Arabidopsis thaliana: one gene and its partners. The protein of the gene in region 1 interacts with the protein of each later gene in a pairwise test. Each region holds a gene or a part of one and is shown in the gene's direction. Other genes may lie near its edges.

What was found. The genes of interacting proteins can lie anywhere in the genome.
Region 2: the proteins of AT5G35870 (region 1) and NHL3 interact in a protein complementation assay, tested with the Arabidopsis thaliana proteins (one large-scale study listed by BioGRID).
Region 3: the proteins of AT5G35870 (region 1) and WAK3 interact in a protein complementation assay, tested with the Arabidopsis thaliana proteins (one large-scale study listed by BioGRID).

Annotation. Positions count from the first base shown.
Region 1 is NC_003076.8:14,018,329-14,022,805, forward strand, and holds AT5G35870 (uncharacterized protein), read left to right. Parts: upstream 1-2,450; 5' UTR 2,451-2,693; coding exon 2,694-3,284; 3' UTR 3,285-3,372; downstream 3,373-4,477.
Region 2 is NC_003076.8:1,929,844-1,934,361, reverse strand, and holds NHL3 (NDR1/HIN1-like 3), read left to right. Parts: upstream 1-2,593; 5' UTR 2,594-2,650; coding exon 2,651-3,346; 3' UTR 3,347-3,566; downstream 3,567-4,518. Other genes in the region: AtPOT1b (Nucleic acid-binding, OB-fold-like protein), read right to left, coding at 3,567-3,770, 3,846-3,998, 4,097-4,155, 4,236-4,312, 4,405-4,518. UniProt on the Arabidopsis thaliana protein: Confers resistance to Pseudomonas syringae pv. tomato DC3000 (Pst DC3000).
Region 3 is NC_003070.9:7,431,783-7,437,779, forward strand, and holds WAK3 (wall associated kinase 3), read left to right. Parts: upstream 1-2,452; 5' UTR 2,453-2,520; coding exon 2,521-3,397; intron 3,398-3,498; coding exon 3,499-3,657; intron 3,658-3,730; coding exon 3,731-4,920; 3' UTR 4,921-5,048; downstream 5,049-5,997. Other genes in the region: WAK5 (wall associated kinase 5), read left to right, coding at 1-564; AT1G21245 (Protein kinase superfamily protein), read left to right, coding at 5,060-5,560. UniProt on the Arabidopsis thaliana protein: Serine/threonine-protein kinase that may function as a signaling receptor of extracellular matrix component. Binding to pectin may have significance in the control of cell expansion, morphogenesis and development.

The DNA of each region.
Region 1 (4,477 bases):
AGTTTTGTAAAATTGAATTAAACCAACTAAAATCTTTAAACCAATACCAATTTAAGTTTAACCAACACATCTAAACCAATTTAATAAAATTAATATTTTTCCAAATTTCTTAAATATACAGAGATAAAATTGAGAAGACGTAAACTCGTAATTTTTCCACCAAAAAACATAAACCCGTGATTTTCCCGCCAAAAACGTAAACCCGTGATTTTCCCGCCAAAAACGTAAACCCGTGATTTTCCTGCCAAAAACGTAAACCCGTGATTTTCCAGCCAAAAACGTAAACCCGTTATTTTTTCGCCAAAAACGTAAACCCGTGATTTTTCCGCCAAAAACGTAAACCCGTGATTTTCCAGCCAAAAACGTAAACCCGTAATTTTCCCGCCAAAAACGTAAACCCGTGATTTTCCAGCCAAAAACGTAAACCCGTAATTTTCCCGCCAAAAACGTAAACCCGTGATTTTCCCGCAAAAACGGAAAACCGTGATTTCCCCTCAGAAACGTACACCCGTAATTTTCCCGCCAAAAAAATGTAAACCCGTGATTTTCCCGCCAAAAACGTAAATCTATAACTTTCCGCCAAAAATGTAAACCCATAAAAAGTAAAATCCGTGAATATCTTAAGTTTGATGATAATGAATTAATAATTAGTAATAATAATAATTATTTATTATTGTTTTATAATAATAATTAATTAAATTATTACTTAAATAGGTTAACTCATTTAACAACTCAACCCATCAAATTAAATGAGTTATGGGTTGGGTTGGGTTGGGTTACCCATTTTAACACTCCTAGATTTATCTTAACGTAATAAATTTCAATTTTATAATGGATCATTAAAAAAAATAATCAAAATGATGTCGTTTTATAGTTTAGTAGAGATTGATAAGGAATATTTAATTTCGTTAGTTTGTTTCTTTAATTGACTTAACCACATGATCAAAATTACAAACTTAACAAAAGTTTGGTATTTAAATAAAAAGTAAAAAAAAACTTACTATATATATATATATATTTATATAAAAGAAGAATAAGTTAAGGATTTAAATCAACTAAATGGAAAAAAAAGATTTAAAAGAAAAATTTTCCGAATAAATTTGTTTAAATTGCCTAAAAATTGGTCTCGGCATTTCTCGGTGCGTGAAATTTATAAATTTGTTGTTAATAGTCCGAAAATAAGCATGTTCAGTCTTAGGGGACACACACATCCTCTCACTCTCAAATACTCTTTCTTTTTCTTTGTTTCCTTCTCGTTACACCCAAAATAATGTGCAACAACAATATACACCCTTCTATGAAAGTGTGGCGTAAGCAACAAGTGGCATTACATGTATGAAATATTTGGACTAACTCAAACATTCATTAAATTCAGCCCAAAATATTACGTCAAGTAATATTCACTCCATTGTAAATTATTTTTAGTTTTAAATTTTTGCACATAAATTAAAAAAACAATAAAAAAATTATTTTACTTTTGCTCAAACACTTTAAAACTAAATTTTTTTTCCAAAACATATACATTAAAAATTTAAAACAACTATTATAAATAAATATTAAAGCGACAACTAAATCGTAATAGAGAAAGTTCGTATATAAATTGAATTTTCACAAAAAAAAAAAAATAAAAAAAAAATAACCAATAAATATTGTTGAAAAAAAAATAACAAAATATCTATTTCAAATAGAAGTAATTAAAATTGGAGCTTCAAGCATAAAAGTGTTTTTAAAATCTACAATCGTAGATCTAGCAAGTCAACTTGGGTTATCTTTGGATTGTAGTGAATGAAAGTGTCGCCAGGTGGTAAGCAGGGAGGCTTGCACATGGCTCACCGACACTCTTAAGCCTTGGTGGGCGAGCAAGTACAACTAAAAGGTTTAGTTAAGGGTCTTGGCCTTTTGGCTTCTCCGATTCCAAAAGAATAGATTTTGTGGTTAGATTATTTATTTTATTTTATTTTGTCGTTTTTTTGTTTTTCCATTCTCATTTCTTTTCACTAGAGTAATTCTTTTCAAAATTCGAAATTTACAGAATATACGAGATTAAATGAAAGAAAAATACAATAATATGTTAAAAATCATAAATGTTACATGAACTATTTTGAAATATTTTGACTAATATAGAATATATATTAAATATTATAAAACAAATCTCAAAATATTATATAGCGTCACATAAGATACAAAAGAAATTATCTTTTCAAAATTGTTTTGGGTATTTCAACTCTACTATATAATCTAAACAAATCTAGACTAATCTCGGTATCCAGAATTTTATTTTTATATAGGTATTTCCAAATTTTGCATATGGGGACCAGTTGGGGAGCTGTTACTCCTCAAATCTAGATGCAGAAAACAAAGAAAAAATATAATAGTTTATGCTAAATCTTCTTCCTAATCACCTATTTATAAGCCCTTTTCCGTTTTGATTATTTGAAGTACATTTACGTATTAAACTTTTTTGGAGTTCTTCTCCCTCTTTCTAATTCCCATTTTTGTTTTTCCTAGAGTCGAATCTAATTGTCTTGCTCAACATTTAAGTAAACGATCGTAAGCTATAACTCTTTTGTCTCCTTTTCCAGTTTTTGTTTTTTTTACATCAACCCATTTTTTCTAGGGTTTTTGTTGTTGAAAAGTTTTTCGATCACACATCATCTCTTCTCATTTTTTGTTTTTGGATCTGAGGATATAAAATGGTTGAAATCTTATTTCTTCTATCTTTTTTGGTGGAACTACAAAGTAATTGCTTTCATATGAATCTTGAGAGCATAAAAATGAACGAAGGGGTCATGAGTTTTATTTTATTGCGTTTTAAGAGACCAGTGTCATGGTTGTCTTTTCTTGCCCCACCACTTCTTCACATCATAGGACTTGGGTTCTCGCAAATCATCCTAACCTCAGCTGCATTGTTCTTCTCATCTTTCTTCTTCCCTCTCTCAATCCAAAAACCAAACTCCAAGGTTCAAGATCTTAGTCAACAAGACTACTTAGGAGAGACTGAACTATCATCTACGACCACTAATGATATTGTCAAAAATAATGACGAAGATGACGGGACAATCCCTGATGAGGAAAGTCTCATAGAGCTCTCCTTACCAAGCGGCCATTACATTGGCCACCACTATAGTACTATGATTGGTAAACAAGATCAAAAGATCATGTACAACAACATCCCAGATTTCAGGCTTATCCAATTATCAGCCGAGTATGAAGACGATAATCTCATCGAAATCGACATTTCCATCGGATCGATCAAGTGTTCAAGGTTCCAGATCAAAGCCTGATACATCTTTCTATTTCTTACATCACTATGAAGCGTTTAAAATTAATATCGAATGTAAAGTAATATTTGAGGTTATTTTTGCACGTGGTAAGTGCTCTATGTTGTTTGTTTTTTGTTTTAGATCTCTCCATTCATGGGGTTTTTCTATTGTTATATATTATTAGCTACATTACTCTTCCAAGTTTTAATTAGAATTCCTTTATCTTGCTTACACACTCTAATTTTGAACATTTTACGTAGTTAATTTTGACATAAGTCACGTGGACTAGTATTTCTTTCTTTTTGCATGAGATTTGAAATTATTTGGGACCATGTACTATGAGTCTGTGACTGTTTAAACCAGACTATGAAGTGAAGTCTAAGACGTTTATATATATGTTTGGCCTGACCGTGACTATAGGTTAACAAAAAAGGCATTTGCCTCAAATCCCAGAAATATATTAACATTTTAGGGTCTCTAAATTCAGAAATTATGATGTATCGTGACCTCCAAAATTCGCTAATAACCCATGTTCGACATTTTTAAAAAAAATTAGGCAGTTAAAAAGAGAAACTGAGAAGAATTGACAAACAAAAATGGAAATCAAAATACGAAAAAGGAAAACGAGATGAAATCTCAAACCATACAAAATAAAAAAAATTCTAAATAGAAAAGAATTAAAGAGTTTTGTGAGTTTAAAAAAATACATTGTTTGGATTTTACAAAGGATGAATATTAAAATACAATAGATGTGCTCTTCATCGGTTTTAAATATCTTGGATCTTTTTTGCCGATTGTTGCACCGTATGTATTTTTCATTCCACTAGCGGTGTAACCATTTTTTACCATTAATGTTTTAGTTTTTTGAATATTTTATATTGTTTAAATTAGAGATGTTAATGATGGGTTAAAACTCACTGGGTACCCAAAACCCACATAAAATTTTAAACCCATATATTTACTTTTTCTGGAAAAAAAACACAGGTTTAAAATGGGCTGGGTACCCAAATAAATAAAATCCATATGGGTTTACCTCATTGGGTTATGGGTACCCACGAGTTTTTTTTTAAATCCTTTTTCAAGTGAATCAACATTTTCTTGTCAAAAAAGATTTCGCATTTTTTTCTCCTAAACCACGATTTAACAGTTTACCACCAAAAAAAAAATTCAACATTTTCCCGCCAAAGAAGACATTCAACATTTTCCCGCCAAAA
Region 2 (4,518 bases), about 12 Mb from region 1:
ATATTCTTGGATCTTGAAATGATAAAAAGTAGAATCATGTTGCTTATTTTACAAGAAATAGGGTATTTTTCTCCAACGTTCGAATCCCACGAATATTCTATATTATGTATTTTTTGGGTTAATAATGAAGTCATCTTATAACCAACTGCTTCGACTAATTTTGCCTCTTTTGTTAAGAGATTTGTAGGCGTAATTCTCAATCTGGAATCCACTTTCTCCAAGAGAGAAAACTTGCGAAATGATTCATTACATGTGCTATTGTTATTATATTCGATATGTATATGTATTTCAGAAAGAAGTCCAATGTGAGAACATTCAAAATGTACATAAGAGCGAGGTCCAATTTGAGCATAACGTACGCAATTTGTTCGTTAGATTCGTCACCAACAAATATTTGATGTGTTTGTGAACGATTTTTTATGCAATTTTTTAATCTTAGTCCCATTTATCTACTAACTCCCACGTGTTTTGTTTCCTTTGTACATATACACGCTGCCGAATCCAGTTTGTATATAAACATAATTTTAATTGAAAATCTTCGAAACATTGTACTGAAAATTTGCCATACGTAATCTAGGTAATTGATCAGCATGATGAGAAACTTTACGCCCATCAATCCATGAATATACAATCCTAGTTTGGAACCGAAGTTATACTGTAAAAAAGCAGATGATAAAAACACACAATTGTCTACATAACCTTCCCTTTTTGCCTTTTTGAAGTCATACATTTTATTAAGCGTGTAAATGATCAAGACTTGAATATATACATAAAGATTCGATTTTGTTCATCTAGAGAAATTCATAACCAAAACATAGAATAAACATTCATAACCAAAGGATAACGTAAGTAAAATGAATCATGGAGTTGTATCATTGGTCCACTGGTTAACACGATACAGTTTCGACTTTCGAGTCGTATTGTATTCCAGATTTTAACAATGATTAACAACACAAAATTATGGTGACAACCACCAAATTAGAATTAGTAATAGATTACATGAAAAGTATACCCTATATGTTACTTCCTTAGATATATGTCCATTTAAACTTTAGTGGACATCTATTCAACGCAATTTCTCAATAATTTATTCGGATGAATATCGGAATTGAGTAGATAGGGATCGGTCGTCGGTTCCTCCATTTTCAAAACCCTAAGAACAACCAAAGTCTTCATCATTTATTTGTCCAATTCCAATGATCTATTTCGTCCAAACGGCTAAGATTGAAGGAGTCTTCGTGAAATATTTGTTGTCTAATTTAGTTTAATGTTTTATCACCACACACATTGACACCGCATTAAACTCTAACAAGTTTTTCAAACACGTTTGTTCATCACCAGGTTTTTCTTTAAAATTATTGTGTATTACTTATCATATACAATGAAAATTATTGTTATACCGTATAACACATAAAAATTTCTTAAACTACATTGACTACTTTAATAAATAAATAAAACACATTACATCTCATATTATAAGAATACTTTTTTTAGTTGTTACATTTGTTTTTATAAATCCTCCATAGTTGTTTTAAAGTTTAATATGATTGAGTTGCGATCTAGTATTATTATTCTTTATTAAATATGCTTGACCTTTCTCATTGAAGAAAGATGTAAACATTTGAAAGCATGGCTTCACCTAATCTTCCTTTCAATTACAGGTCACATCATCCAACTCTAAACACCAACCTCCCTTAGTTTTCCTTGCTTTTAGCATTATAACATTAACAAGTCTTTGCAATGTTTAATTTTCTTTGAATTTGAGAAATCTTTCACATTAAACATTTTCATTAATTGATAATTAATTAAATAACCTTTATCAGTAGAACTGTTCTCATAGTTATAAAATAAACATTTGGAAAACCCCACCTCAGTTTCAACTTGCAACCTATAGATCAAAGTTATTTCATTTCATCATGTTATATATATAATGTCGAAATTCTTGACCGGGACTGGTTTGTCTTTTTCTAACTTTGTATAGGCTTATTGATATTTTGGCCACATTTTCTATTTTTGTTCTCAAAAGTCTTTCGTCAAGTTTAAGAAACAATGGCTATATTAGAGCAGTCGCTTTTGGGGAAGTTTCTCGGAAGCTTAGTTACATTGTAAAAATGACTATTCACAATTCACAAACTAACTACCGCACTAAGTATCATCACATTCTCACATGTCTTATATAATAAAAGAATATATAAATAAATATCTACATATGGATATTCTTGTATGCGATCGGCACTAACCTCATTAATCACCAAATCATGTATATATGGATTCAAGAAATAATCTCATTAAGCTTAACCAAAGTATACATAGTCAAATTGAAGAAGAAACCATATAGTAAAATTTAAGAAACAATCTTTAATGTATATCAAACTGTTAATCCTAAATATCTAATAACAATCTCGCAAGTAACCTCTACTTAAATCAAATTTTCATCGAACAATATTAAACCGACGCGTCACCTTTGACTTTGAAAAAACAAAACCGCGTCAAATTAAATCGTTTTATCTAATACACGTTATCTCTACAGTGTATATATATTACGGCCTCTTCTTCTTCACTTCAAATCATATTTACTTTTTCAAAATCTTATCACAAACCAAAAAAAACTTTCTTTCAAAATCGTTCTCTGAGGCATTTTAACGAACAGATGGCGGACTTAAACGGTGCGTATTACGGACCATCGATTCCACCGCCGAAGAAAGTCTCTCACAGCCACGGCAGACGCGGCGGTGGATGCGGTTGTTTAGGTGACTGTCTTGGCTGCTGCGGCTGCTGTATCTTAAGCGTCATCTTCAACATCCTCATAACCATAGCCGTCTTATTAGGCATAGCTGCTCTAATCATCTGGCTCATTTTCAGACCCAACGCTATCAAATTCCACGTCACCGACGCTAAACTCACCGAATTCACACTCGACCCAACCAACAACCTCCGATACAATCTCGATCTCAATTTCACAATCCGTAACCCTAACCGCCGGATCGGTGTTTACTATGATGAAATCGAAGTCAGAGGATACTACGGTGATCAGCGATTCGGTATGAGTAACAACATCTCGAAGTTTTACCAGGGACATAAGAACACGACGGTGGTTGGAACTAAACTCGTGGGACAGCAATTGGTGCTGCTTGACGGCGGAGAGAGGAAGGATTTGAACGAGGATGTGAATTCTCAGATCTATAGGATCGATGCCAAGCTGAGACTTAAGATTAGGTTTAAGTTTGGGTTGATCAAGTCGTGGAGGTTCAAGCCCAAGATCAAGTGCGATCTCAAGGTTCCTCTTACCTCTAATTCAACCAGCGGGTTTGTTTTTCAGCCGACCAAGTGTGACGTTGACTTTTGATTGCTAGTCAAGAGTCAATGCTATTATAGTCTTCTTCGAGTTCATCATATTACACTTGTTTATTGATTCTTATTTTAGATTGTTTTGCTTTATTATCTTCCATACATATCGTTGGAGAGAGATATTTTTCTTATGTAATGTTTTATTGTATGGTTCCATGTAAATAAATAATCACATTTTGTTTAATGCTAATAACTATACAATTAGCATTATGATTGTCTCATGAAGCATTGATCCAAGTATCAAAAATGCGGAATCTTCTGCTTTCCCACTGATCCATTTTGTGTTTGTAGAATGAGAACAAGCAACATTGTACCCATGGAGGATTTCTTGGCACTTTCTCCATCTCTTCACCTCCCAACAATCTATTCAGCTTCTTGACTAGAGCCTCTTCATCAGATTCGTCACACCCGAAAAACTTTTCCTGTAAAAAGATATACAGATATAAGTATTAGACAATCCTTCAATGAACACTAATAATTAATCGTGTTTTACTTACCCCTTCATCAGCATATAGAGAAGCATGGATTCTGGCGGTTGCATCTTCTAGTATAGCTACCAATTTGATATTTCCGTTGATATCACGGAGTTTTCTGACGTCTCGGGGATACACTTGTATGAACCGAACAACACACCTGAATTTAGCAGTCACCTGCATAATAAGCATCAGTAAAACATCAATTCAAGAAAGTTTTCACTATACTCTTTTCCTACAACTTATGATAAATCCAAGGTTTTTGGATACATTACATTGTGATAGGTCAGGATGTCCATCAGAGAAACAAATGGAGCATCGTCATGGGCAACCCCTAGAAAAGATTAAACCATAAGTATTATATTAAACGTTATGTCAAATTTCCACAATTCCAAACAATTAGCTGGTTATTACCTGTGATTTCAGAATGTGAACGACTAATGCAACGCGCGATTGGGTTCCATCTCGGTGAAAACTTCTCCCCACACATTCTGAAATGGTAAGAAAGTGTGTTTTAAACTGAAGAACAAACGGACGAAGCAGAACATCAACTCACAGGATAAGAAAAGGTGTCAGCAGAAACCTTTGAGGACTAAAGGCTTCCATCTCTCTGCTCATTGTGTACTGCATCTTTGTAGAGGGAGTAAAAGTGGCGTTCCATAATCCCATATTTACTTGAAAGAAAAGGTTCAGAAGC
Region 3 (5,997 bases), on another chromosome or scaffold:
GCAAAAGTAGCTGATTTTGGTGCATCAAGGCTGATACCGATGGACCAAGAGCAGCTCACAACTATGGTTCAAGGAACTCTTGGCTATTTAGACCCTGAATACTACAATACAGGGCTTCTGAACGAAAAGAGCGATGTTTATAGCTTTGGGGTAGTCCTCATGGAACTGCTCTCAGGTGAAAAGGCATTATGCTTTGAACGGCCACAAAGCTCAAAACATCTAGTGAGTTACTTTGTTTCTGCCATGAAAGAAAATAGGTTGCATGAGATTATTGACGGTCAAGTTATGAACGAGTATAATCAGAGGGAGATCCAGGAATCTGCAAGAATTGCTGTTGAGTGTACAAGAATTATGGGAGAGGAAAGGCCAAGTATGAAAGAAGTAGCTGCAGAGTTAGAGGCCTTGAGAGTCAAAACAACCAAACATCAGTGGTCAGATCAATATCCCAAGGAGGTTGAGCATTTGCTTGGTGTTCAAATCTTATCGACGCAAGGTGATACCAGTAGCATTGGCTATGACAGCATCCAGAATGTAACAAGGTTGGACATTGAAACTGGCCGCTGATATTTATCAATCTTTTGTTTGTGAAAAAGTAAAGCCACTTATTTATTGCTTATGTCCTATATGTTTCCTAACACTTCAAAAAAAACAGAGTATCAAAACATGATATTCAAGAACATTTATGCTCGAGAGATCCGTTGTAGATCATCAATTATTCATTTTATAACTCCATTCGATTGGTAAGCTAACCAGTAGACGATTCGGTATGAGAAAAATTAAGAATTCATGAATCTACTAGCAGAGATATTGATATACTGTTGTGGTTGCAAAACAATAACTCGAATTTAAAGGGCTCAGTTGCTTAAAACATCCTATTTGATCCACAGCTTGACTCATATATTGTTTTGGTACTGGCATCTATAATTTAATACTGCGTTTTCTAAATTAACAAAATCATTCTTGCTGCATAAGATTGCTCTGGTTTTGAAGCCATCAAGTTTTCTTATTTTGTTAAAAATTTATGATCTTTAACCATAAGTAATATATATAGTGAAAACATGAGAAAATTTGGTGGATTCTAGAAAAGCACTCTCCGTCAACGTGATCGATATTATGATGAAATGATTACAAAGATGCAATTATATATATCCACGAGCAACAAGACGAAGACAAAAATGTAAACAAGTTAACATATGATTTTGGAATTAGATCAGTAATAAACAAACATATGCACAACTACATGAGAAGTAAAAACTAGTAAACGAGAAATCTCTAACTTAAGATGCGTGGTATGTACGTAACTCCAAAAGAACAACTTGACATTTTTTTTTTTTTTTTTTTTTTGAATGTAATGTTAAATTATATTCAAGAAAAATAACGTTTTTGATACAAGGCTTTGAAAGTATGAAAGAACAACTTGACTATTTGATAAACAACTTGACTCATATATTGCTCTGTTATTAAAATTTTAATACTGCGTTTTCTAAATTAAATTATCATTCTTGCTGCATAAGATTGTTGTGGTTTTGTAACCATCAAATTTTCCTTTTTTGTTAAAACTCTGATCTTTAGTAAATTGAGAAAGCTACCTCTACTATACCCTTAAAATCTCTAAGTCTGGTCTGTCAAAGATTATTTTAATCATCAAACAGTGTATTTTCAGTTTTTTCTCAAGATTTTCCCTCAGTTTCTTTGAATGAATCTGGTTTCTTTCGGTGAAAGAGTGCTGGTCGTAATTGAGTTTGGTTTGTAATATATTACTTAAGTGTCGTGTCTGTTAAGTTAAAGTAGTTATGTTTGTTGTGTCACAAGAAAGAAGAGTCATAACTCTTGACTTTTCATGTCTGTTGGTTTGTATTTAAGTTAATTGTTGTAAACCTTGTAAAACAGTTGTTGTATTTCACTTTCTCTATAATAGAAAGACAAGTTCTTCTCTTTATTGTTATGTTGACGATCAAACCAATTGTGATACAAAGTCTGATTCTCTTTCTCTGTTCTTAACTCTGTTCTGTTTCTAGAAGGAGATTCAGTTTCTAACAAAGTGGTGGATTTGCATGGAAATTTCTCATAGATAACCTCTTGAAGAGTAAGCAGCGACATGACACATGAGGCAAGAACTATTCAAATTCTTCGAAAACTTGTTGACATTTATAAACTCAACACACACACACACACAAAAAAACTACATATTTCTACTATTACGACAGCAGAAGAAAACAGAGCATGTTGTGATCATGATGAGTCTTATTCCTACATTGTCACTATAACGAGACTTTCATATATGAACAATAAATTGGAGTTTCCTGGAAAAATCAAGACAAGAAAGAAAGGACAGATAAAGAAGTTGACGCATTTATATTTTTCTAACGTCTAGTAGTCTGAATCTTTACTTTTCTTCACATTTGATTATTCAACAATGTCAAATCAGGGGTTACTTTTCAAGCTATAAGAAGCGAATAAGCGATGAGAGAAAACTCAAAGAGAAACAAGTTTAGAGAGAAAGAAAGAGAAAGGTAGAAGATGAAGTTCCAGGAGGGTGTGTTCTTGGTGGTTATTTTCTTCCTTGCATATACTCAGCTTGTGAAGGGGCAACATCAACCTCGCGAAGATTGTAAACTTAAATGTGGAAACGTCACAATAGAGTACCCTTTTGGTATTTCTACAGGTTGTTACTATCCCGGAGATGATAATTTCAATCTCACCTGTGTCGTGGAAGAGAAGCTACTACTCTTTGGCATCATTCAAGTGACCAATATTTCTCACAGTGGCCATGTAAGTGTACTGTTTGAACGATTCTCTGAATGCTACGAGCAGAAAAATGAGACTAATGGAACTGCCCTCGGGTATCAGCTGGGTAGTAGTTTCTCTCTCTCCTCCAACAACAAGTTTACTTTAGTAGGATGTAACGCTTTATCACTTTTGAGCACTTTTGGAAAGCAAAACTACTCAACTGGATGCTTGTCATTATGCAATTCTCAACCAGAGGCAAATGGAAGATGTAATGGTGTAGGTTGCTGCACAACAGAGGACTTCTCTGTCCCGTTCGATAGCGATACATTCCAATTTGGCTCAGTTCGCTTGAGAAACCAAGTTAATAATTCCTTAGATCTATTTAATACTTCGGTATATCAGTTTAATCCTTGCACCTACGCTTTTCTCGTTGAAGATGGTAAGTTTAACTTCGATTCTTCAAAAGATCTTAAGAATCTGAGGAATGTCACGAGGTTCCCTGTGGCACTAGATTGGTCTATTGGAAACCAGACATGTGAGCAAGCTGGAAGCACAAGAATATGCGGTAAGAACAGCTCATGTTACAATTCTACTACTAGAAACGGGTATATCTGCAAATGTAATGAAGGTTATGATGGGAATCCATACCGTTCAGAGGGTTGCAAAGGTACTTCATATTAATTTCTTTGCTTTCTTTCTTCTTTTGAGTGTTTATAATCTTCCTCATACGTTTTTGGTTGCATCTTGTGCACTTATTCCTTTGGTCAGACATCGATGAGTGTATTAGTGATACACATAACTGTTCGGATCCAAAAACCTGTAGAAACAGGGATGGAGGCTTCGATTGTAAGTGTCCATCTGGTTACGACTTAAACTCCAGTATGAGCTGCACGAGGCCCGAATACAAACGGACTCGAATTTTTCTTGGTAAACACTCTTCACTGGTTCTAGATTCTCTTTAAATCAACTCGCTCTAATCATCTATGCATGATGTTATCAGTAATCATAATCGGCGTCTTGGTCCTCCTGCTTGCTGCGATCTGTATACAACATGCAACGAAGCAAAGGAAGTATACCAAGCTCCGACGACAATTCTTTGAGCAAAATGGTGGTGGCATGTTGATACAGCGACTTTCAGGAGCAGGGTTGTCAAACATTGATTTCAAAATCTTTACTGAGGAAGGCATGAAAGAGGCAACTAATGGCTATGATGAGAGCAGAATCTTGGGCCAGGGAGGTCAAGGAACAGTCTACAAAGGGATATTGCCGGACAACACTATCGTTGCTATAAAGAAAGCTCGGCTTGCAGACAGTAGACAAGTAGATCAGTTCATCCACGAAGTGCTCGTGCTTTCACAAATTAACCACAGGAACGTGGTCAAGATCTTGGGTTGCTGTCTAGAGACTGAAGTCCCCTTGTTGGTCTATGAATTCATTACCAATGGCACCCTTTTCGATCACTTGCACGGTTCCATTTTTGATTCTTCTCTTACATGGGAACACCGCCTCAGAATAGCGATAGAAGTCGCTGGAACTCTTGCTTATCTTCACTCCTCTGCTTCTATTCCAATCATCCATCGCGATATCAAAACTGCAAATATTCTCTTGGATGAAAACTTAACTGCAAAAGTAGCCGACTTTGGCGCTTCTAAGCTTATACCAATGGATAAAGAGCAGCTCACAACTATGGTGCAAGGCACTCTAGGCTATTTAGACCCAGAATACTATACCACAGGGCTTCTGAACGAGAAGAGCGATGTGTATAGCTTTGGGGTAGTCCTCATGGAACTGCTCTCAGGTCAAAAGGCATTGTGCTTTGAACGGCCACAGGCTTCAAAACATTTGGTGAGTTACTTTGTTTCTGCCACGGAAGAGAATAGGTTGCATGAGATTATTGACGACCAAGTGTTGAACGAGGATAATCTGAAGGAGATCCAGGAAGCTGCAAGAATTGCTGCAGAGTGTACAAGGCTAATGGGAGAGGAAAGGCCAAGGATGAAAGAAGTAGCTGCAAAGCTAGAAGCCTTGAGGGTCGAGAAAACCAAACATAAGTGGTCGGATCAGTATCCTGAGGAGAATGAACACTTGATTGGTGGTCACATCTTGTCTGCACAAGGCGAAACCAGTAGCAGCATTGGCTATGATAGCATCAAAAATGTAGCAATATTGGACATTGAAACTGGCCGCTGATATTGCTCACAAAATCACATGTATCTCTTTTGTTTGTAAAAAAAGAAAACCACTTATTTGTTGCTTCATCAATATGCTTTGAGAGCTTGTTTGTTCATCATCAATAATCATGTTCATATTTTCCTTTACTTGGTATACTATGGTGCAAGGCACTCTAGGCTATTTAGACCCAGAATACTATACCACAGGGCTTCTGAACGAGAAGAGCGATGTGTATAGCTTTGGGGTAGTCCTCATGGAACTGCTCTCAGGTCAAAAGGCATTGTGCTTTGAACGGCCACAGGCTTCAAAACATTTGGTGAGTTACTTTGTTTCTGCCACGGAAGAGAATAGGTTGCATGAGATTATTGACGACCAAGTGTTGAACGAGGATAATCTGAAGGAGATCCAGGAAGCTGCAAGAATTGCTGCAGAGTGTACAAGGCTAATGGGAAAAGAAAGGCCAAGGATGAAAGAAGTAGCTGTAGAGCTAGAAACTTTGAGCGTCAAAACAACCAAACATAATTGGTCGGATCAGTATCGAGAGGAGAATTTACACTTGCTTGGTAGCAACATCGTGTCTTCCCAAGGCGATACCAATAGCCGTGGTTATGACAGCGTCAAGAATGTAGCATTGCTTGACATTGAAGCTGGCCGCTGATAAATTTTGTTTGTTAAAAAGTATATTGTTTAATTCTTTATTGTTTATCTCCTTTTGTCTTTATAAACATAACCAGAATATCAAAACATGACATTCAAAAACATTGATATCCTTGTAGATCATCCATATATACTCATGTTCACAATTCTCCTATATTTTTATATGCTAACCAGTAGCTGATTAGGTATTAGAAAAACTACCTAGAGTTCATAAATATGATTCCATACGACATTAATATATCATTGTGCTTAATTATAAAGAAAAACAAAACAACTCGAGAAGAAAAAACACTAGAATTTAAAGTAGGCGTCAAAAACAGAGGAGAGTAAGTATACTATGAATATGATCATCGAAATCTTCAGCACCTGGTCGAGTTCATCGTAGATACCGCTTCCTCAAACCAAACCATATGATTCTTTGTTAGTTGCTTGGTAAAC